3 linked regions of the Pelodiscus sinensis genome follow. The protein of the gene in region 2 interacts with the protein of the main gene of each other region in a pairwise test. Links are inferred from orthologs where the notes say so. Each region holds a gene or a part of one and is shown on either strand. Other genes may lie near its edges.

Region 1 (8,007 bases), on a different chromosome or scaffold from region 2:
GTGCAGGGGCTCTGGGGCCGGATCACTTGCAGCGCACGCCTGGCGTCGAGGCCGGTTCCTGGGCAGCAGGAAGGGCAAGGCTGGCTGGCATCTGGTGCCCGCGGGGGACAACACCTCCCCGTGCAGCCGGCTGCTGGGGGCGCACACCCCAGAAGCTCAGCTCCATGGCAAGGTGGGTCTGGCCCTGAGTCCCAGCTCTATGCCAGCACAGACCTCCATGTGTTCAACAGCTGGTGCTGGCCCTCAGGATGCACCCCAGGTGGGCAGGTCTTGAACCCACAAACCTGGGGTCCCCGGGCCAATGCTTTAACCCCAGGCCACTCAAGAACCAACCCCACCTCCCTTCCTCCAGGGTGCCCCTTGTCCAGCCTTCCTAATGGGGCAGCTGGTGCTGGCCCTCAGGATGCACCCTAGGTGGGCGGGGCTCAAACCCACAAACCTGGGCATCCCCAGGCCAATGCCCTAACCCCTAGGCCACTCAAGAACCCGCCCCACCTCTCGGGCGCCCCTTATCCGGCCTTCCTAGTCGGGCAGCTGGTGATGGCTGGGGAGGGGAGGGGAGGTGGGGGGCTGCTGACCCACTGGCTCCAGGCTACCCCAGCCCAGCCCCGCAGCCTGGGGGGTAGGAAGACCTGCAGGCAACCTGTGAGACAGATCAGTCCAGAGCCCAGGGCAGGGCCACAGTCCCACAAGGGCCCTTTCTCCCTGCATCACAATACTGAAAGGCAGAGCTGGGGGTCGGCTGTGCCAGGCTGTGCTCAGCGCCCACCACGGCCAGCTGGATCGGCAGCCTTCACTCTGCCTCTATTGAGTGTTGGCCTCAAAGGCAATGGGCGCAGGGTCACAGCAGTGCTGCCAGCAAGGAACAGCACATGCAGGATGGGGGGGGGTTACAGTAGGGAAAGGCCCCCCCCTTCCATCACTGCATGCTGGCCAATCAAAACAGGCCTCCCCGCAGCACACAGACCTCAGCCCCCAGGAGAAGAGTCCAGACCAGCCATAACATGCTGCACAGAAGGGGAAACTGAGGCAAAGAGCCAGGGACTTGCCCAAGGCCAAGGAGTCAACAGAAGAATTCCCAAACTCCTGACTCCACTTCCCTCCCAGAGCTGGGAACAGAACCCAGGAGTCCTGGCTCTCAGCTCCCCCCATACTAGCCAGTAGGCCTTTCTGTGGTCCCTGCACAAGGGACGGGAGCACCATGGCCTCTCATTCTTCCAACCCTTTTTCCTTGGGTCGGTGTTTTAGGCCGCTCCCTGCCTCGGCGTAGCAGCACTCCCTGCCCACCACACCCTCCTCTGGCTCCCTCAGATCCCAGTGCCCCCCTGCCAGCCATCTGATCCTTCCCCACGGCAGCCTGCCTGCATCTCCAGCTGACATGCTGCCCTGCCAGGGCCCCCTCAGACTTTCCCTGGGCCCGAATGCCCTGGCCCCAGGAGCTCCAAGCCACCCCACATTAAGGCAAGGCCCAGGCTGGAAAATGGCTAATGGTAAGGACACTGGTCCTTGCCTTCCACCCCCAACTCTTTACATGGAATAATGGGGGGGGGGGGCAGGAAAACCCATAGGGGGGGTATTTTCTGGTCAGCATGGGGGCAAGAGCACAGGTCCCTCAGCCTCCTCATTGGCCCCCCTGCCTGGGGAAGATGGGCCCCCCAGGGAGAAAGGCAGCCCCTGAGCTGAGGGGGGCACACTCAAGAGAACGGGGCAGCATCTAGTCCCCCAAAAATAGCTCCCCCCAGCAGCAGGGGTGAGTCCTGCTGCCCCCATTGCGTGCTGGGCTCCTTGCTCTGGCTGAAGGGCACAGCCCCAGCCACCCCACTCTGGATGGCACCCTGGGGTCCTGCCCCTCTGCTGGATCCGAGACATCCCCATTCTCAGGGCTCCCTACTGGCAACGACATGGGCAGGCCTGCTGCCCCCCCACCCTGCTTCAGACTCCCATCTTCCCCGCCGAGTAATAGACCCGACTGACGTGTGTGCACCCCAGACGACCTGCCCCCCCCGCACGCTCAGCCCTGCCTCCCCATCCCACTCAGGGTGCTCCCTGGTTCGGGCAGGGCCATTGCAGCGCCTGCCCTGCTCCCCCCCCAGGACGGGCCCATTGCAGCGCCTGCCCTGCTCCCCCCCCAGTACGGGCCCATTGCCGCGCCTGCCCTGCTCCCCCCCCGTACGGGCCCATTGCCGCGCCTGCCCTGCTCCCCCCCCATACGGGCCCATTGCAGCGCCTGCCCTGCTCCCCCCCCCCGTACGGGCCCATTGCAGCGCCTGCCCTGCTCCCCCCCCAGTACGGGCCCATTGCAGCGCCTGCCCTGCTCCCCCCCCCCCGTACGGGCCCATTGCCGCGCCTGCCCTGCTCCCCCCCCCGTACGGGCCCATTGCAGCGCCTGCCCTGCTCCTCCCCCCCCGTACGGGCCCATTGCAGCGCCTGCCCTGCTCCCCCCCCCGTACGGGCCCATTGCAGCGCCTGCCCTGCTCCCCCCCCCCGTACGGGCCCATTGCAGCGCCTGCCCTGCTCCCCCCCCCCCCGTACGGGCCCATTGCAGCGCCTGCCCTGCTCCTCCCCCCCCGTACGGGCCCATTGCAGCGCCTGCCCTGCTCCCCCCCCCGTACGGGCCCATTGCAGCGCCTGCCCTGCTCCCCCCCCCCCGTACGGGCCCATTGCAGCGCCTGCCCTGCTCCCCCCCCCGTACGGGCCCATTGCAGCGCCTGCCCTGCTCCTCCCCCCCCGTACGGGCCCATTGCAGCGCCTGCCCTGCTCCCCCCCCCGTACGGGCCCATTGCAGCGCCTGCCCTGCCCCCCCCCCCCCCGTACGGGCCCATTGCAGCGCCTGCCCCCCCCCGACGCGCCCCGCGCCTACCTGCTCCGGCTCGGGCTCTTCCTCCCGCCCCCTCCTCCCCAGCTGACTCTGCACCCAGCCCCCGCCGGCCGGAAGCAGCAAGCCCAGGGCACGCACCAGCGATCTCGCGAGAGCTTCGCCTGGCCCTGGGGAGCCGGGGGGGGGGCAGCAAACCTCGCGACATCAGAGCCGGTCGCTATGGCAACAGTTGCAATGCATGGGGGGGTTGCACCTGTAGGGGAGGGGACGTGCAAGGGAGGACTGCATGGGGGTGTATTAGGGGACCTAAGGGTGTGAAGTATTGGGGGGGGCGCTGCGTGCCTGGGGGGGCGGGAGGCTCGACGCCGGTGGATGATGCGTGGGGGGGGGGTCACATCAGCGTGGGGGTGGAACACGCGGGGGCTGGAGCGTGAGTAGGGAGGCTGAAATGCATGGAGGGCTCCTATGGCGATGGTGAGGCTGAAATGCGAGGTCTGCAAGGGGGAGCACGTTGTATTAATGGGGGGCTGTGGTGCATGAGCAGGCTGTGTGCGTGGAGATCATGCTACATGAGCGGGGAGGGCTGTGCATGGGGGCTGTGGTGCATGAGCAGGCTGTGTGCATGGAGATCATGCTACATGAGCGGGGAGGGCTGTGCATGGGGGCTGTGGTGCATGAGCAGGCTGTGTGCGTGGAGATCATGCTACATGAGCGGGGAGGGCTGTGCATGGGGGCTGTGGTGCATGAGCAGGCTGTGTGCATGGAGATCATGCTACATGAGCGGGGGCTGTGCATGGGGGCTGTGGTGCATGAGCAGGCTGTGTGCATGGAGATCATGCTACATGAGCGGGGAGGGCAGTGCATGGGGGCTGTGGTGCATGAGCAGGCTGTGTGCGTGGAGATCATGCTACATGAGCGGGGAGGGCAGTGCATGGGGGCTGTGGTGCATGAGCAGGCTGTGTGCGTGGAGATCATGCTACATGAGCGGGGAGGGCTGTGCATGGGGGCTGTGGTGCATGAGCAGGCTGTGTGCGTGGAGATCATGCTACATGAGCGGGGAGGGCTGTGCATGGGGGCTGTGGTGCATGAGCAGGCTGTGTGCATGGAGATCATGCTACATGAGCGGGGAGGGCTGTGCATGGGGGCTGTGGTGCATGAGCAGGCTGTGTGCATGGAGATCATGCTACATGAGCGGGGGCTGTGCATGGGGGCTGTGGTGCATGAGCAGGCTGTGTGCGTGGAGATCATGCTACATGAGCGGGGAGGGCAGTGCATGGGGGCTGTGGTGCATGAGCAGGCTGTGTGCATGGAGATCATGCTACATGAGCGGGGACTGTGCATGGGGGCTGTGGTGCATGAGCAGGCTGTGTGCGTGGAGATCATGCTACATGAGCGGGGGCTGTGCATGGGGGCTGTGGTGCATGAGCAGGCTGTGTGCATGGGGGTCATGCTGCATTAGCGGGAGTGAAGTGCATGGAGAGAGGTGCAATGCAATAGGAGCTGGTTGCCCTGCTGTGTGAGTAAGGGATGAGGCCTGGCCCCATCGCTACTTGCAGAAGGCAGGACCCCACCCCGGGGAGGTAGCTTGCCCCAGCTTATTTTAACAGGCTCCATGAGGCACTGCAGAGCCTCCTGCAGGGTCCAACACACCGCAGCCAGAGGGACATGTAGGAGCTGCACTCCTCTGGCTCTCCTTGGGTGCTGCCTGCTGGGGGTCCCTCTGGAGCAGCCAGGAGGTGCTGCTGCATTGCTAGGGACAGTGTGGCCTAGTGGCTAGGGAGTTGGACTGAGATGCTGGATTCTATTCCCCTTTCTGCTGGGAGGCCTGGAGTAAGCACCAGTTCCTTCTCTGTGCCTCAGTTTCCCCACCTGTGGAAGAGCTAGATGAGAGCTGGGTATTGATTATTAGTCCCAGCCTTACACTCAGCCCAGCCACTTGGACCTGCCAGGTGAGTAGGGTCATGGGAGGGAGCCCATCCCCCTGTTCTCAGAGCTGTCCCCTTCTCTGGCTCTGTGACCCTTCTGCTCCTGGGCTGGCCAGAAGGCAGTGAACTCACCCCTCGCCATGGCAGGGCTGTTGAATGGCTAAAGAGCATTACTGGGGCTAGAACCCCTGGGTTCTCTCCCCAGCATGGGGAGGAGAGTGGGGCTAGTGGGTTAGAGCAGGGGTGGCTGGGGGCCAGGACTCCTTGGTCCTAGTCTCAGCTCTGCCATGGACTGATCGACTGGATTGCAGTGGGAGTGGGGCACATCTCCCTCGTGCAGTGGCTCCGAGCGTGCCCCTGCACCCCATGGGTGTTGGGGAGTGCGCTGTGCCGCTCTCCCCCAGCAGGTGGCGCCTTTCGCCTGGCTGTGATATAGACCCATCAGAGGTCATCAAGTCCAGGTCCCCGCCCAAGGCAGGACCAACCCAACTCAGTGTTCCCAGCCAGGGCTGTGTCAAGCCGAGACTTAAACACCTCTAGGAATGGAGATTCCGCCACTTCCCTAGGGAACCCCTCCCAGTGCTTCCCCACCCTCCTAGGGAAATAGCTTTTCCTAAAATCCAAACTAGACCTCCCCCTCTGCCACTTGAGACCATTGCTCCTCATACTGTCACCTGTCACCACTGAGAACAGCCTCTCTCCATCCTCTTTGGACCCCCTTCAGGAAGTTGAAGGCTGCTCTCAAATCCCCCCTCACTCTTCTCTTCTGTAGTATCAATTAGGGATGTTAAATATCGGCTAATTGAATAATCGAGCAACCTCATGAATTCTTATCAGTCGACTGTTTTATAGTCCCCGGAGGCAGGGCCAGCAGCTGGTACGCTCTGGCCTCACTCCTTAGGAGCCCTCTGCCCCTCTGATACAGAGGCAGCAGTGCAGGGTGCCAGGCAGGAGCTGGTCCGCACAGGGAGCCGTTTTAAAAACCAGCTCCCCTCGCCGACCAGCTGCCTGTTGCCTTGCACTGCTGCCTCTGATAAAGAGGCAGCAACGCAGGGTGGCAGCAGCCTCTGTCTAGGGTGAGTCTGAGCTCCCGAATCCAGTGCAAGCCAGAACTGAGCTGGACTGCCTGCCCGCCTGGCTTCTAATACACTTTAAATGGAGATCTGCAGCAGGGGTAGGTCTTGGACCCGTTTCAAACCAGGACTGAGCCAGATTGCCAGCCAGCGTGCTAAAATATTTACTGGCAAGTGGGGGGGCGGGGAATGCGTGTAGCCTATAGCATTAACCTATCAGCTTTTGCTCATCAGTTAATCGACTATACTATTACATCCCTAGTCTAAATAAGCCCAAATCCCTCAGCCTGTCCTTGTCGGTCACGTGCTCCAGCCCCCTCATCATCTTCATTGCCTGCTTCTGAGCTCTATCCACTGTCTCCACATCCTAACATGAACTTAGCCCTGGGAGCTGGGCTTGGCTACCTCTGCCCATGGGCAGCCGCCGAGTTTGAACCATGTGGAGGCTTGTCTTTCCACTGGCCAGGACTGCTCACACGGGAGATGGGGGAGACCCAGGGCGCTGGGGCTGTTGCAGAGCAAGGGGTGTGCAGCAGCCTGGGAATCGGGGTTCCTGGGTGCCCTTCTTCCCTGATACATGAGTGACTGCACACAGAATCCCACTTACTGTATGTGTGCACACAGCACCGTGCTCACTGGACACACTGGACACACACAGCCGTGCTCACCGGACATGTGTGCAAACAGCTCGGCACCCTGTACACACACACACACATACAGCTGTGCGCACTGTATACACACATAGAGACCCATGCTCACTGTACATATGCATACATATGCACACATTGTACACAGACAGCATTGTTCACTGTTCCTGTGTGCACACAGCCTGGCACACTGTACACACACACACACACAAAGCCATGCTCCCTGTATATGTGCCTACATACAGCCTTGCGAGCTGTATGTACACTCACAGAGCCCTGCTCATGGAGTACATGTGCACGCACGCTGTACACCCCTCCCTCCCCCGCCCAGTGGCTCCACTGCCCTGCTGTGTGGCTGGAGGCTGGGCTGGGCTGCAGGGCAGGCTGAGGTCAGGGCAGGGCCTGTGTGTTTGTAGCGTGAGTCAGTGTGCGACTCCCAGGGAGTGTCCTCACTCCACTGCTAGCAGAGAAGGATGCTGGCGAGTGAGGCATCCCTAGGGCAGGCTCAGCCTCCTATTGACGCCCCTCAGCCCGGCTCCAGTGAGGCTGGTGAGGGGGGCACGGGAAGGCATGTCCCAGCAGCAGGGGCTGAGCCCCCCAAACCTCATTGCACATGGGGGTTCAGCCTCATGTCAGGGCATCAAGGTGGGGCTCTTCCCAGCCCCCCATGGCTTCCACACTCCGTGACCCACCATGGATATGCCCTGCCCCCTTGTGCCCTGCTCACCTGCCCCAGAATCCCAGCACGCTTTCTATCAGGGTCTCTGCCCTCGGGCCAGCCTATGCGCTGGGGGCCCCCTCACTCGGGGTCCTGGATCCCAGGAGCGCCCATCTAATCTGCTTCCCAGGGCCTGCTGCTCTGGGGAACTCCACAGCGGTCAGCTCTGGAACCAGTGGCCCAGAGGGGAGGCCCCTGCTCTACCGGGGAGGGGGGGTTTGCTTCGTTCCCCGTGAAGGAGGGCATCTATCCCTGCTGACTGCTCGCCCTCTCCATGCACAACAGCCTGACCCCACCTTGCTGTGCTCCCCTCTAACGCCCAGTGGCTGTGAGTTCCACTGGTCACCTGCACACGGCGCCAATGGCAGTCAGTTAGGTCGCAATTGCATTCGCTGCCCTGCAGTGCTGCCGACGGGAGGCTGTGCAGGGAACCCAGAGCACTTGGGAGGGGGGCGGGTCAGTGGGCAGGATGGCGGCCCTCCCTGGGCCAATGGCTCTGGTTAATTTGGTGCCTGTAGCTGCAGGCACCTCCTGGGAACTTTCATCTTTGCCCCTGGTTGGGGGGAGGGGAGGCACCAACACTGGTTGTCCTGCCTGTAGGTGGGCAGGGAGGCTGCAGCAAGGAATGCAAAGCAGCAAGGCTGGTTGCCAAAGGGTGCCTGCAGCCCTGTGTCCTGTCCTGCACTGGGCTGGGACTGCCTCTGCCCCCTGGTGCTTTTGGCTCAGACTGGCTCCTCTGGGTCATGGCACCCAAAAGCCACTAGGGGAGGGGGGAGAGTGTGTCCCTTGAGCTGCCAGCCAGGAGCCACCTGTTCTCAGGGTCAGC
Region 2 (7,474 bases):
AGACAGCCCCCCCCGCTGCCCCTTGGGACAGCCTCCCTCCACCTCCCCTGCCCCTTGGGACAGCCCCCCACCCCGCTGCCCCATGCGACAGCCCCATCTGCCCCCATTCCCACCACTCGTTTGGGACTGTCACGTTACTGGAGTTTAAGGGAAGCAGCCAGGTCACTGCTGCACCCCTGGGGGGTGTTTGCCCCAAAAGTGGGTACAAAGGGGCCCTGTGAGGTGTCAAACAAAAGCTACTTTCTTCTGAGTCTGTGTCTGCTCTTCATAGATCGGTTCCTGTCCGTGTGGAGTTAGGAATATGGACTCTGTGTGGAGACGGGACGTTTCTCTGCATGTGCTTGAGCAATGGGCTCAGCCTATGGACATGCTAATTAGCAAGGCTCCAGGGACAAGGGGCCTCCTAAGTACCAGAGACCCACCTGGGAAGGAATCCAGGTGCCTGGCCAGAGACCATGTGACTGTCTCCAGCTTGGAAGAAGCCGGGCGGGGGGGAGATAAAGATGTCATGTGGCCGACTCCATCTTGGTCCTCAGATCTGCTCCTGACCCCAGATGCGGCCTCACAGGGAATCACGAGCCGGGAAGAACTGTGGGCCCATCTGGATACAGGATATACACCAAGGACTTCTAAGCCAGCAGCTGTAACATCTCTGCTAGAGCCTGCCTCGAGAACTGGGAGATTCACTGCATGTAACGTACGATCCTTTAACAACCTCACTCTCACGCTTCCTTTCTCTTAGGGGGTGTCTAGACTACAGGGTTTTGTCGACAAAACTAAACCTGCGTCTACACTAGCGCTGAGTTCTGTTGACATAACGTCGACAGAACTCAGCAGTGTTGTCGACGCTGGTAAACCTCATTTTACAAGGAATAACGCCTTTTGTCGCCAGAAGGCGCTACTGCATCTACACTGTCCTTTGCGTCCACACTGTTATGTTGACAAAGCAGCTTGCGTTGTCGACAGAACTGGATGTGTCTAGACGCTCTTTGTCGACAGAAGCTTTGTCGACAGTATCTGTCAACAAAACTTCTGTCGACAAAACCCTGTTGTCTAGACGTACCCTCACTGATAAACCTTTAGATGTTAGATGCTAAAGGATTGGCCCAGCGTGATTTGTGGGTAAGGTCCGGAGGGGAAATTGACCAGGGATCTGTGGCTGGTTTCTTGGAACCGGACAGAACTTGTTCGGGGTAGGTGGGATTGGGTGCTAGGACCCCTCACCTGTGTATGAGGCCCGGGGCCATCTGGGGCACGGATATTGCTGGGGTGTGGGAGGGGTTTTGCTCGGGAGGCTTCAGGCAGGCAGCTGGAGTGCTCTGGGGGACTGGTGTGTGGCCTGTTTGGGAAGGTCTCCAGTCTGGGGCTGTAAGGAGCCTCGAAGTTGAGCAATTTGCCCTGAGCGGACGCCCTCAGCTGTGCCCAGACCTGGCCACTGTGGCATCTTTATCTCCCTTCCTGGTCTCTTCCAAGCTGGAGATAGTCACATGGTCTCTGGCCAGGCACCTGGATTCCTTCCCAGGTGGGTCTCTGGTACTTAGGAGGCCCGTTGTCCCTGGAGCCTTGCTAATTAGCATGTCCATAGGTTGAGCCCATTGCTCAAGCACATGCAGAGAAACGTCCCGTCTCCACACAGAGTCCATATTCCTAACTCCACACGGACAGGAACCGATCTATGACGAGCAGACACAATGGTTTTTTTTAAATGACTGGAGATGCCTGTCTCCTAGAACTGGAAGGGGCCTTGAAGGTCACTGAGTCCAGTCCCCTGCCTGCACAGCAGGACCAAGTCCCATCTGTCAAGGGGTAGGCCCCCCGGGGGCTGCAGCCCCCCTCTACTGGCCCGTGTGTCGGTCCAGGCCCTTCTCTCAGGGCATATACAGTACCCAAAGTCCCAAAAGTCTCGGCCCCTCTCTCAGGGCAAATATGGTATTCCCAGAACTAGCCCCAAGTCCAGGCCCCCCTAGCAGGGTATATATGGTCTCTGGGGCCTAGCTCCGGAAAAAGCCCCCCCTGGCCGGCGTGTTTGCCGCGGAAAGGGGGGGCGGGGCACCCGGGGCCCCCCTCCACCGGGTCCCAGCAGGCAGGGTTCACGCTCCTGCCTGCTGGGTGGGGAATCCGGCAAGCCCTGGCCCCGGGCTGCTTCCTGCCGCTCTGGCTCTGGCTTCAGCTGCTGCAGGGACACCGGGGCGGCAGCCTGGGCCCCTTGCCGGGCTCCCCGCCTTTATATACGGCTCTGCTGGGAGCATGCCCAGTGGGGCCCTCCCAGCCCGGCAGCACGGGGCCTGCTGCCCCCCACGCCCCCCGGCAAAGGTTTGCCCCACAGACTCAGTAGAAAGTAGCTTTTGTTCGACACCTCACAGGGCCCCTTCGGACCAACTTTTGGGGCAAACCCCCCACCCCCCCCCATGGGCGCAGCAGTGACCTGGCTGCTTCCCTTATACTCCGCTAACGTGACCGGGACAGCCCCCCCATGTGACAGTCCCTCTGCCCCCCGGCCCCCCGCTCCTTCGGGAGAGCCCCCTCCGGCCCCCCCGCTCCTTCGGGAGAGCCCCCTCCGGCCCCCCGCTCCTTCGGGAGAGCCCCCTCCGGCCCCCCGCTCCTTCGGGAGAGCCCCCTCTGCCCCCCGCTCCTTTGAGAGAGCCCCCTCTGCCCCCCGCTCCTTTGAGAGAGCCCCCCTCCGCCCCCACTCCTTTGAGAGAGCCCCCCGTGCCCCCGTCTCCCCCCGCCTGACCGAGGTGGAAACTCACCTTGTATGTGTTGATGCCCCATTTCTTGACAATATCAAACTTCTCCACAGCAAGACCCCGAGCGGCCTCGTCCCCCGCTGCCGTGGGGCTGGGCTGGGGCTGGTGCAGCCCGGAGCCTGGAACACACAGAGCACGGGGCTGGCAGGTCGGGCAGCGTCTCCTCCCAGGCCTCTTCGCTGCAGGTCTGGGCGCCCTACAGTGCCACCCCACCAGCCCTTGGGGGACTGTCGCCAGCCGCATGGTGCTGCTGTGCCAATATCCCCCGCTCCCGGAGGCAGGGGATCCAGGGAGCAGCACGCTTGGGCACAGCCGCCTCCCGGTCCCCACCAGCGCCCTGGCTTGCAGAGTGGCTGTTGCTGGCACTCTGGCCGTGCCCGCCGGCCCAGCAGAAGAGGGGTGGCAGGGGAAGTGCCTCTGAGGGGTGACGGCCGCCAGGCCACAGTGCCCCCCACCGGCTGGAACAGTGGCACTTTGCCTATGCCCTGCAAGGCCCCCTCAGTGCCTCCACCCCACCCCACCCCACAGCAGGGCAGCGGCAGGAAGGCCCCGGCCTGCAGCAGACTCCCAGGGCCCGGCAGGGCTAAGCCAGCCATCTCCATCCTGCTCCCGGCAATGGGGCCTTGCCTTGGCTGTGTCCTGTGCTGCTCTGGTGGCGGCGCAAGGCCCAGACTCGGGCCTAGCACCATGTGCTGCTAAGGCAGCAGCGGGGGAACCTGCCCCCAGGAGGGACTCATCTGGGACACCGATACTCAGAGATGAGCAGGCTTCATATTCCTGCCCAAACTGCTCGGCCCTCCTATCCCTCTGGCTAGTCCCGCCCCCCCAGAGTGGCCAGGCCACTCAAAGTCTTGCTAAGGCCTCAGTGACATCACGTGGTGGGGAGTTCCACAGGCTAACCACGAACCATGGCAGTCTTCCCTTTCCATGCCACGGAGCATCCCCCGGTCCCTGTGCTGTGTGACCAACCAGCTGCCCTAATCTTCCTCTCCCCATGCCCCACATCAGGATTTACCCTCTTCTCTCAGTGACATCCTGTGGCAAGGAGTTCCACATGCTAACCACAGAGCATGACACAGTCTCCCCTTTTGTCCCTTTCCATGCCATGTAGCCAACCAAATGCCTCAATCTCCCTCCCGCCGGCATTGGGATGTATACACCATGCTCAGGGCATGTCTAGACTCCATCCCTCTGTCGCCAGAGGGGTGTGAATTAGACAGACCAACATTGCTAATGACGCAGGGATTCCAATCTCCCGCACATTGCCGGCAAAAAGCAGCAGTCTAGACAGGAATTGGTCAGCAAGGAAAGCTGTTTCCGACCGATCCAGCAAACGTCGTTGCACGAGGCATAAGGGATCGGTCAGAAAAGGCTTTCCTTGTCGACCGACCCACGTCTAGACTGCCACTTTTTACCGGCAAATTGCCATGTCGGCCATTTTTATTCTAATGAAGCGCGGGCTATTGAAATCCCCGCGCCATTAGCAATGTCAGTCTAATTCACACCCCTCTGGCGACAGGGACGGAGTCTAGACATACCCTCAGTGACACAGTGACATAGTGGGACTGTATTTGGGCCATATTCTGTTGGCCTTGCGGTGCTGTATGTGAGTCTGCTGTTCTGTAAGGACTCCAGGTGTGTGTGCGTGCCTCAGTTTCCCTGGGCACAGTGCACTGTCTGGATGAAGACGGGGAAGCTGGGCAGGACTCACTGGGGAGGTCCTGAGGGCCAGGGGAACAGTAGATAACACCCTGGGCCCGGGAAGGGAACAAAGGGGGGCAGGGCTGACACCAGGCTGGGGACTAGGGTCTGGGGTATGGGTCAGTCTTGGCTGGTTTTCAGGACGAGAGGGGGGTATTGAGCAGGAAGGGGGAACAGGGCCCAGTCTCCCCAGGCTGGGCTGTACTGAACGTTCCTGGCTCCTGTAACAAGTCCAGGCTACGCTGTGTCTGTGTCAATGTGTAACTCCTGTGTTCTACCTGCTGCGCATCGGGGTGCAGGGCTGGGGACTCCCCCACACTAGAGGACAGTGGTGGGATGGACTGTACCCCGTGGACGGAGCATCTGCCAGGAAGTCACTGGGCACAGGAGAAGGAAGGGGGCTTGCAAGAGCCAGGCACTGGAGGCCATGGGACGCAGTTCCAGGAAGTGGAGAGGAAAGCAGCTTAACCCAAGTGGGGCCACGGAGAAGGGGGTGCCCCCCCCCCAGAAGAGGTTCCCCTGTGGACTGTGGGAAGTGATCCCAGGAGAGGGCGGTCTAACTCTGCGGGGAAGGGGGGCCCAGGAAGGGTTCTTCCTGGGATCGTGGGGTGCTGCAGCATTGGCCGGTGTGTCTGCACCCGGGGAATGGAGGGAGATGGCCTACACCCGACTCCTGAAGGCAGGCGCCTTGGGGCTGTGCAAGGAGGGGGGCCTGCCCGTGGGGGAACTGACCAAGTCCCAGCTGATTGCCGGCTGGAAGAGAATGATCCTTCCAGGGGGCTGGATCCTGTCCCAGCAGGGAGCAGCCAGACACCCCTGGGGAGTTTCAGGCTCTGAGACAGGAGAAGGGGCAAGGAACTGCCTGACAGGCATGTGGGGCCCGCCAGGCCACGCTCCGCCAGCAGCAGTTCGTCCCAGGCAGGATCTCCTCGGCACAGCTGTGATGCCTGGAGATTGAGCTGCGGCTAAGGACGTGGAGGGCCGTGTGTCACGTTACTGGATTTTAAAGGGGTTCAGACAAGTCACGGCTGCGCCCACAGGGGGGTGTTTGCCCCAAAAGTCTATACAAAGGGGGCCACATGAGGTGTCATATGAAAGCTTATGTCCTACTGATTGTGTGTGTGCTGCTCCCGTACGTGGGATATCGGCGTGCGGCGCTACGGATACGCGCTCCGCGCTCCTGTACGTGGGATATCGGCGTGCGGCGCTACGGATACGCGCTCCCGTACGTGGGATATCGGCGTGCGGCGCTACGGATACGCGCTCCGCGCTCCCGTACGTGGGATATCTGTGTGCGGCGCTACGGATACGCGCTCCGCGCTCCCGTACGTGGGATATCTGTGTGCGGCGCTACGGATACGCGCTCCGCGCTCCTGTACGTGGGATATCGGCGTGCGGCGCTACGGATACGTGCTCCGCGCTCCCGTACGTGGGATATCGGCATGCGGCGCTACGGATACGCGCTCCGCGCTCCCGTACGTGGGATATCGGCGTGCGGCGCTACGGATACGCGCTCCGCGCTCCTGTACGTGGGATATCGGCGTGCGGCGCTACGGATACGCGCTCCGCGCTCCCGTACGTGGGATATCGGCATGCGGCGCTACGGATACGTACTCCGCGCTCCCGTACGTGGGATATCGGCATGCGGCGCTATGGATACGCGCTCCGCGCTCCCGTACGTGGGATATCTGTGTGTGGTGCTACGGATACGTGCTCCGCGCTCCCGTACGTGGGATATCGGCGTGCGGCACTACGGATACGCGCTCCACGCTCCCGTACGTGGGATATGGGCGTGCGGCGATACGGATACGCGCTCCGCGCTCCCGTACGTGGGATATCGGGTGTGCGGCGCTACGGATACGCGCTCCCGTACGTGGGATATCGGCGTGCGGCGCTATGGATACGCGCTCCGCGCTCCCGTACGTGGGATATCTGTGTGTGGCGCTACGGATACGTGCTCCGCGCTCCTGTACGTGGGATATCGGCGTGCGGCGCTACGGATACGCGCTCCACGCTCCCGTATGTGGGATATCGGCGTGCGGCGCTATGGATACGCGCTCCGCGCTCCCGTACGTGGGATATCTGTGTGCGGCGCTACGGATACGCGCTCCGCGCTCCCGTACGTGGGATATCTGTGTGTGGCGCTACGGATACGTGCTCTGTGCTCCCGTACGTGGGATATCTGTGTGTGGCGCTACGGATATGCGCCTCCGCACTCCCGTACGTGGGATATCGGCGTGCGGCGCTACAGATACGCGCTCCGTGCTCCCGTACGTGGGATATCTGTGTGTGGCGCTACGGATACGTGCTCTGCGCTCCCGTACGTGGGATATCTGTGTGTGGCGCTACAGATACGCGCTCCGCGCTCCGTACGTGGGATATCGGCATGCGGCGCTACGGATACGCGCTCTGTGCTCACTCTGGAGGGTTCTGCCGGGGACAGAGCAGTGGGCCAGGACTGTCCAGGCAGTGACTGTGCTAACTGGCACAGCCCCAGGGACAAGAGCTGATGAATTCCTTCATCAAGTAGTTGCTGAACCAACAAGGGGGGGGGGGTGCTATTTTAGATTTGGTGAGTAGTGAGGACCTCAGAGATGAAATGGTTGTAGGGGACAACCTTGGCTCGAGTGATCATGAGCTAATTCAGTTCAAATTAAATGGAAGGATAAACAAAAATAAATCTGAGACGAGGGTTTTTTATTTCAAAAGGGCTAACTTTAGTAAATTAAGGAAATTCGTTAGGGAAGTTGTTTGGACTAAAGAAATTATGGATTTTGGGGTGGAAGAGGCCTGGAATTATTTTAAGTTAAAGTTGCAGAAGCTGTCAGAAGCCTGTATCCCAAGAAAAGGGAAAAAATGTATAGGCAGGTGTGTTAGACCAAGCTGGGTGAGCAAGCATCTCAGGGAGGTGATTAAGAAAAAGCAGAAAGCATTAAGGAGTGCAAGATGGGAGGGATCAGTAAAGAAAGCTGCCTTATTGAGGTTAGAGCATGTAGGGACAAAGTGAGAAAGACTAAAAGTCAGGT
Region 3 (7,217 bases), on a different chromosome or scaffold from region 2:
CAGGGAGGCAGGCTTTGCTATGCCTCTGGGTTCACTGCTGGTCAAAAGAAAGCATTCTTTTAGAATTAGAGATAATTGATTTTTAATTATTGTTTCATGCTTAAAAACTGTTTTCACTTTTGTTTCAGTTGATGGTTCATTTCTGTTTCTTACATAATTGTTTATAATAAAACCCTTTAAAATTTAATTAATAAGGAGTTGATACCAGTTCTTTAGCAACGGTCATACTAGTAATTTTCATAGGGTATGTCTACACTGCAATGCTATTTTGGGATTCCGGAGTATCCTGAAATAGCTATCCTGCATCTTCACAGCAAGCCGTTATTTCGGGCTCACTATTCCGACATCCCTGTAAGCCTCAAGTTAGTGATGTTTCAGAATAGTGTTTTATTTTGAAATTTGGCTCTGTGTAGATGATGCCAAATGACAAAATAAGCTATTCCAAAATAGCATCGAAATATCTTATTTCGAGTTACGGTGCAGTGTAGACACACCCTATATAGTGTTCCTGGGGCAAACTGTCCAGTAACTTAAACAGAGATTAGTTCCAAAATATGCTAGACTCCTAGATCCTTCCAGACCACACAACATTTATTTCCATAAACCTGCCGTGATGGCAGAGGTGAAAGTAAGCCAGTGCAGCACACCAGTAAGAGACTGTTGGCCACAGCACACACAGGCATGAGCTCCAGGGCTTGGGCTGCATGGTCCCCAGCTAGCCACAGTGCTCGGGCAACAGGGCCCCCAGTGCCCCAGGGATCCAGCAGTCACGCAATACAGTGGCTGCACTCCCAGCCCTGAACTCCCAAACACATCCCCAACCTCATCCTGAGGCTCTCTCACACACACACACCATCCCCTACCCTGACTCCTGCACACCTACACCTGCCATAAGCCCCTTATCCCTACCTTGACTCCTGCACTCACCAGCCCTTGTCCTTGCCCTCATTGTTGGCTGCAGCTACAGCACTTTAATGCTAGCTGTGTATGGACTGGTACTGGCAGCCACTTCTCGCTGGTATGCTGTATTAGCTGTCACCTCTGCCCAAATTCAATGGGAGTTCTGAGTTGCATTATGACAGAGTGGGATATTTGGTATCAGAGTGTAGACTCCATTTTGTGTTGCTTAATGAACACATCTAAACTGGCCCATGGCATCTTCTCATATTGCACTTTAGACAGTGCCTGTTTAGGAAAGATGCTTGACGCCTCATTGAAAGATGATCCTGATGCTTGGTCTACACTACACAGTCTGGTCCATGTGGAAATGTCATCACTTAAATTTGCCTCTTGTCAACATAAGTGACTCTCTATGCCAGTTTAGTAACACCATCTTCCCTACATCTTCACTACAATTGATACAAGTCCTTCTAGTGAGGACATGCACAACCAACACAATGGACCAGATGGGCACACACAAATGCAATTTCATATCTGTGGTAGCAATATATCAACAAAATTTTGTAGTGTGGAGATATGGCCTGAGAAAGCATCAAGAGAGCAATTGATGACCACTAGCTCTATTCTCTCTCCATTCCCTGTCCTATGGAACAATGAACTTCCCACATTGGAATGCACAGGCAGGCCTGCTGACAGCAATTCCAGGCCCCAGGGCAGAACAGTCAATGGGCCCCACACTTACACAAACTATGCCTGCACAAACATGGACTGCCTGACACCTGGGCACTGCTGTGCCTGCACAAGCTGGTGCCGCACCTGCATTGACTGGTGACCAACGAGCTGCTAGCTACACTGCTGGGTGCACTCTTTCAGCATGATCAGCTCTTCCACCTGCCCACATGGTAGGGTTGCACACTGTGCAATTGTGCAACTTCAAAGACCCTTGCCCCACCCTTGCCCTTCTCCTGATGCCACATTCCTGTCTTACTCATTGTCTGAATCCCTTCCCCCGGCTCACTCTATCCCCCCTTCCCTCCATCACTTTCTTTTCCCCACCCTCATTCACTTTCATCAGGCTGGGGCAGAGGGAGGGAGTATGGGCTCTGGGAGGGAGTTTGAGTGCAGAGTATAGTCTGTAGGCTGGGACAGGGGGTTGGGTGCAGCTCCTATTGACCAAGCTGTCCAGCCAATAGGAGCTGCAGAGATGGGGTGGAAGCAACACATAGCAACTCCATCCCCAGGGGCCATGGGAATGTGCCAGCTGCTTCTGGAGTGGCATTGAGTCAGGGTAGGAAGGAAATCTGCCTGAATGTGGACAACAAGAAAAAAAATTGTTTATATGTGAAAAGTGAAATTGTTTCAATAAAATGAAATGGGAAAATAAAGTTTATTATAAATGGTGTGATAACTGCAGATGTTTCCAGATGTATTTCAGGCTACAAGTCTGATCTCTCATTAGCAACATTTTCATCTATTGGAACTCAAGTGACATTTTTTTGTCCTGCTATACTTTTCTAAACTTGGATGTTACTAAAGTATGTATACAATTTTATTGTACTTTGTATGGGAAACACACTGCATGTTATAAAGTAAAGAAATCTAAAGAAAGTCTCTGCCTTTAATGTTGACACCTCATTGTTTCTTCATAAATCTTGTGATACTTGATGTTTTTCTTAAAAACTTCAACTCGAAGAGTCATGGGATTGCACTACAGTCTCAGTTTTGGTTTGATGACTTTTTAAAAAGTAGACTTCTAAGCATTTGCAGTTGCAGAGATAAGGCTTGAATCCCTGAATCCTAAAGTCTCTGTAACTAGAAGGTAAATAAAAAGAATCCCAAATTATTTTTAAATCTCATGATTTTGGCAGCCTGACCCATGAGCTTTGAATGCTGGGATTTGGCAATACCATTAGTCATTCAAAGCATTCTGACATTTATTAAAGAAAGAACATCCTTCAAACTGGAAGCTAGAGTCGCTATTTTTTGACACCACCATAAGCCATAGGTTTATAAAACTAGGTTTTTATTTCAACCCTAAAATATTCATTACAACATTAACACTATTAACACCTCCATGGGAATATAATCATGCATCTGAGCTGGAATGTATTGAGTGCTAGTTTATCATTAACTAGCAGCAGGTTAAAAAAGAAAAATAAGAACAATTAGGTTTATGAATCCTGATGTCAGTCTTGCTGCACATATTAAAGCCACACCCCCTGTACTAAATAGCCTTGCCAAGAGAAAAAAAACTACCAGAGCATGAAAAGCTAGAAAGAAGCTACAAAGCAGATGAAAGCCAGCATCTGGATCTGAAGAATCAAGGTCTTGCTTTTTAAAAATCTGACATTTGTGAGGCATCACATTTTGGTTGAACAACCATATCCACACCAGGAACAAAACTATTTGGTTCCTTTGAAAATGAGGGATCAAAAGCCCCCAGGGAGAAAGGACTAGTCAGGATCCTACACAGATATACAGTATAAACTGGGAGAAGTGCAAATCAGAGAGGCCTAATCAGCCTCCTTATCTGCTTCTTCTGCAGAAAGATAACAAACCTGCATCATACCAATGGGACACACATTCTCTGTATGTGCTCTGTATCTGAACACCCACTGAGAGATTGAAAAGTAAAGGTGGATTTGGAGTGCTCCAGAGGTGGGAAGTGGGTAGGAGTATGGTTTGCAGATAGGGTCTAGGTGCAGACTAGTGTTCCCTGTAAGCTGTGCACCTGCACAAATGCTCAGGGGAGATGCCAATGCTGCTCAGCTGACTTTACAGCTAGGTTTGTGTTTCTCCTGGTGGCACACAACAAACATTTATTCCACACACGGATGGAAACGATTAGAGGAAACCCTCTGGCATGATTCCCTACACAGACTGTCTCCTTCAATTCCCCAATCCAGGGTGTTCCCAAATCCCAACCCCGGGCGAGTTCCCCACAGTACCACAGCCCCAAGAGACTCCCAATTCAGGGCCAGTCTCATGAATACCAGGGACTGTGGGGGACTAGCCCTGGGCTGGGATTCGGGAACACGCCAAGGGGGTGGTGGGCAAATGTTTGGCTCTGAGCTAGAACCAAAGCTGGGACTACAGCTGGAGCCAAAAGCCAGGCGGCTCTCAGCGAAGGCAACAGGAAACTCATCCTCTCCCTCTAGCGCTGTGGCCTAAGGGTCGCTACATGGGGCAGTGACCCGAACTCAGCAGGTGTGTGGGTCACACTGGGTCCACCCAGTGGCCACGAGAAGGGGGTTTGCTCGGCTGCAGCCCACGGAACCGGGGCCGTCGCCGCCCGGCGCTTGCGGGGCGGGGCGGCGCAGGGGCCGGGCCGGCGGCTGGGTGTTGCCCACACGCTTCCTGCACCTGCTCTGGGCGCCGCTGAGCCGCCCCTTCCCCCGCCCCCAACCTGCGGCCACGTCAGGGCCAGCCGGGCTCGGCTCACTCCGCGCCAGCATGTCGGCCAGGGGGGGCTCCATGCCGCCGCCCCCCAACCCCACCGCCTACTTCCCCGCGCCCCGGGTCACGCTGCCCGCGGGCTTGGACATCCTGCGCACCTACTCGGGCGCCTTCATCTGCCTGGAGATCGTGAGTGGCAGGGCTGGGGGCTGCTCGGGGTGGGCTGGCTGGGATCCCCCGCTCGCTCCCCTTCCTTCTCCCGCCTTGCGTCCCCGCGCCCAGCACTTGTTGCGCCGAGCCCAGGGCGCCGCGCCGGGCTAGGAGCGTGCAGTGCCCCGCGCCGCACGGCCGGTGTGGTGCATGCAGACCCGGGGCTGCAGGCTGAGGTGCGGGGCGTGCCGGAGCAGGCGGCACCGCAGCCCTGCCACCGTCCCCGCTGCTAACCTGCCATTTTGTAGGTGGGAGAGGTGCAGCAGCCGCCCCTGGAGCGGCTTGTGGCGGCGGCATCAGGAGGTTCTGCTCCGGGAGCCCGGAGAGCCAGAGCGGGCCTCTGTTCCCCAAAGGAGGACCCGGCCCGGAGACCTGGAGCATTGAACTTTATGCGCCGGGGATACGGGTATAGCAACAGGCTGGGGGGGATGTAGGTGGGGATGGGGGGAGGAGGCTCAGTGGGAGCCCTTCCCCATGCCTCCATCTTGCCTAATCCTTGTTTTCCTGCCTCAAAGCTTCCCCAGAAGGGGGATCATGACCAACATACAACTGTGCTGAAATAACACTGTTCTGATTGCCACTCAGTGGTTGTCATAGCTGCCTCTTGGCAGCCGTTTTATTTTCGGAGGGGTGGGGGAAAGAACACTTGGCCTGTATTATGGAGTGAGTTTGTTTTATATCGAGAAGATCTTGATCCTCACAAATTTAGATCAGATTCAGAAGTCCGAGGTAGTAAAACTGTACGGAGTGTGTGTGTGGTTTTTTGTCTTGAGGGCCCCTCAAACTCTAGCATGGATATTTAACCTCGCTGGCATTGAAAGAGTTTGCAGAATCACTATCGTGATTAGAGATTACAGGTCAGAGGTGATGAAATGCTGGCCCCATTGAAGTGAATAGCAAAATTCCCATTGATTTCAATCTGTCCGGGATTTCACCCACAATGCATTTTTTCTTAGTCACAGATTTGAATACTGTCTTAGACTCCAATCTTCAAATGGATCCCTATAGGTGTGCCTGCCCCTCCCCATGGGGCCTTGATTTTTGTTCAATATGGCCTTCACCCTGGTCCAAGAATCTGCTGGGGTGGATCCAGTTGCAGGACTGGAATCCACATCAATAGTCACCAAAAAGTTAACTTATTGATGGATTTGCCAGCCTGTGTAACCTGGGCTGACTTTCCTAGTCTAGTCCAGGCTTTCTCTGATATGGTGCCTGAGTACAATCATAGTTACTGATTACTTCAGTTAGTAATCTTGCTACCAGTCTCAGCAGTGGGATGTTGGAAAAAAAAGTTGTGCTGTTACAATCCATTAAATGTCTTTTCTCTGGATATTTTGAGCCTAAATATGGAGAGAACCTGTTTCCTCACAACAAATACAACCTGAAGAGAAGCCCTTGAAATTAATTTGAAGACTGATAATACTAATCCACATGGGAATACTGAGTGCAGGGAGACGACAGTGCACTTTTACATAATCAGCTTCATTTTATCCACACATTGCTATACTGTATACCAAAGAAGACCTACATACTCTTAACTGCAGGCAACATCTCCTGAAAATAGAGTCTGAGGTTCTAGATTTAGAAGAAACTGGGCAAGCATTATTTTGAAGTTGTAGTTCTCGCAGTCTGAAATGTTTTTCTTCTACTTCATACCTTGAGAGCTGGAAGGAGGAACTGGAAATGGCAATTCAATATAAATGTGAACACTGCTCAGTTCTATTTCAATCAAGTTAAGGCTTTCTTTATTAAAGGAACAAGCTTCAAGAAAGCAAGCATCACTTTTATAGAGATCTGTGTTTGTGATTGAAATAATTGAGAAGATCGGTGTGCTGCAACTTAAATTTTTAGGACTAAATTCTGCTCCTAATTACATAGATCTTAATATGAAATTAATTTGGCTTATATACTTCATTATCTGATGTTCATGACTCAACAGCTTACCATAGCTTTGCTGGTCTTCTATATTTTACTTTTGTTTGTTGCCTTTTACTCTTTTGGCCATAAACATTAAATTCTGTTTATACATTTACAATTATTTCATATCTGTGTCTGCTGGAAGATTACAAAGCTATATATGAGTACAAGATTTAGATTTCAATCTCATTTACATCTTTGACATACCAGTTGCAACAGATACATATGTATTTATATTTTAGGATAAATGAATTTTTATAATCTTTTCATTAATCATAGAATCATAGAATAATAGGACTGGAAGGGACCTCAAGAGGTCATCGAGTCCAGCCCCCCGCCCTCAAGGCAGGACCAAGCTCCGTCTACACCATCCCTGACAGATGTCTATCTAACCTGTTCTTAAATATCTCCAGAGAGGGAGATTCCACCACCTCCCTTGGCAATTTATTCCAATATTTGACCGCCCTGACAGTTAGGAATTTTTTCCTAATATCCAATCTAAACCTCCCCTGCTGCACTTTAAGCCCATTACTCCTTGTCCTGTCCTCAGAAACCAAGAGGAACAAATTTTCTCCTTCCTCCTTGTGACACCCCTTTAGATATTTGAAAACCGCTATCATGTCCCCCCTTAATCTTCTTTTTTCCAAACTAAACAAGCCCAGTTCATGAAGCCTGGCTTCATAGGTCATGTTCTCTAAACCTTTAATCATTCTTGTCGCTCTTCTCTGTACCCTTTCCAATTTCTCCACATCTTTCTTGAAATGTGGCGCCCAGAACTGGACACAGTACTCCAG

What was found.
Region 1: the proteins of ARFIP2 (region 2) and ARF3 interact in a two-hybrid assay, tested with the Homo sapiens proteins (2 studies listed by BioGRID and IntAct). The link is inferred for Pelodiscus sinensis from reciprocal best matches to the Homo sapiens genes ARFIP2 and ARF3.
Region 3: the proteins of ARFIP2 (region 2) and MAL2 interact in binary tests that used the Homo sapiens proteins (3 or more experiments, as listed by UniProt). The two-hybrid records come from large-scale screens. The link is inferred for Pelodiscus sinensis from reciprocal best matches to the Homo sapiens genes ARFIP2 and MAL2.

What each region holds. Positions count from the first base shown.
Region 1 is NC_134729.1:5,045,615-5,053,621, reverse strand, and holds the start of ARF3 (ADP-ribosylation factor 3), read right to left. Parts: upstream 3,001-8,007; 5' UTR 2,861-3,000; intron 59-2,860; 5' UTR 1-58.
Region 2 is NW_027465814.1:176,992-184,465, forward strand, and holds the start of ARFIP2 (arfaptin-2), read right to left. Parts: upstream 3,006-7,474; 5' UTR 2,991-3,005; coding exon 2,751-2,990; intron 1-2,750. UniProt on the Homo sapiens protein: Plays a role in constitutive metalloproteinase (MMP) secretion from the trans Golgi network. May have important functions during vesicle biogenesis at certain cargo subdomains, which could be predominantly utilized by secreted MMPs, such as MMP7 and MMP2.
Region 3 is NC_134712.1:22,505,302-22,512,518, reverse strand, and holds the start of MAL2 (protein MAL2), read left to right. Parts: upstream 1-4,217; 5' UTR 4,218-4,353; coding exon 4,354-4,485; intron 4,486-7,217. UniProt on the Homo sapiens protein: Member of the machinery of polarized transport. Required for the indirect transcytotic route at the step of the egress of the transcytosing cargo from perinuclear endosomes in order for it to travel to the apical surface via a raft-dependent pathway.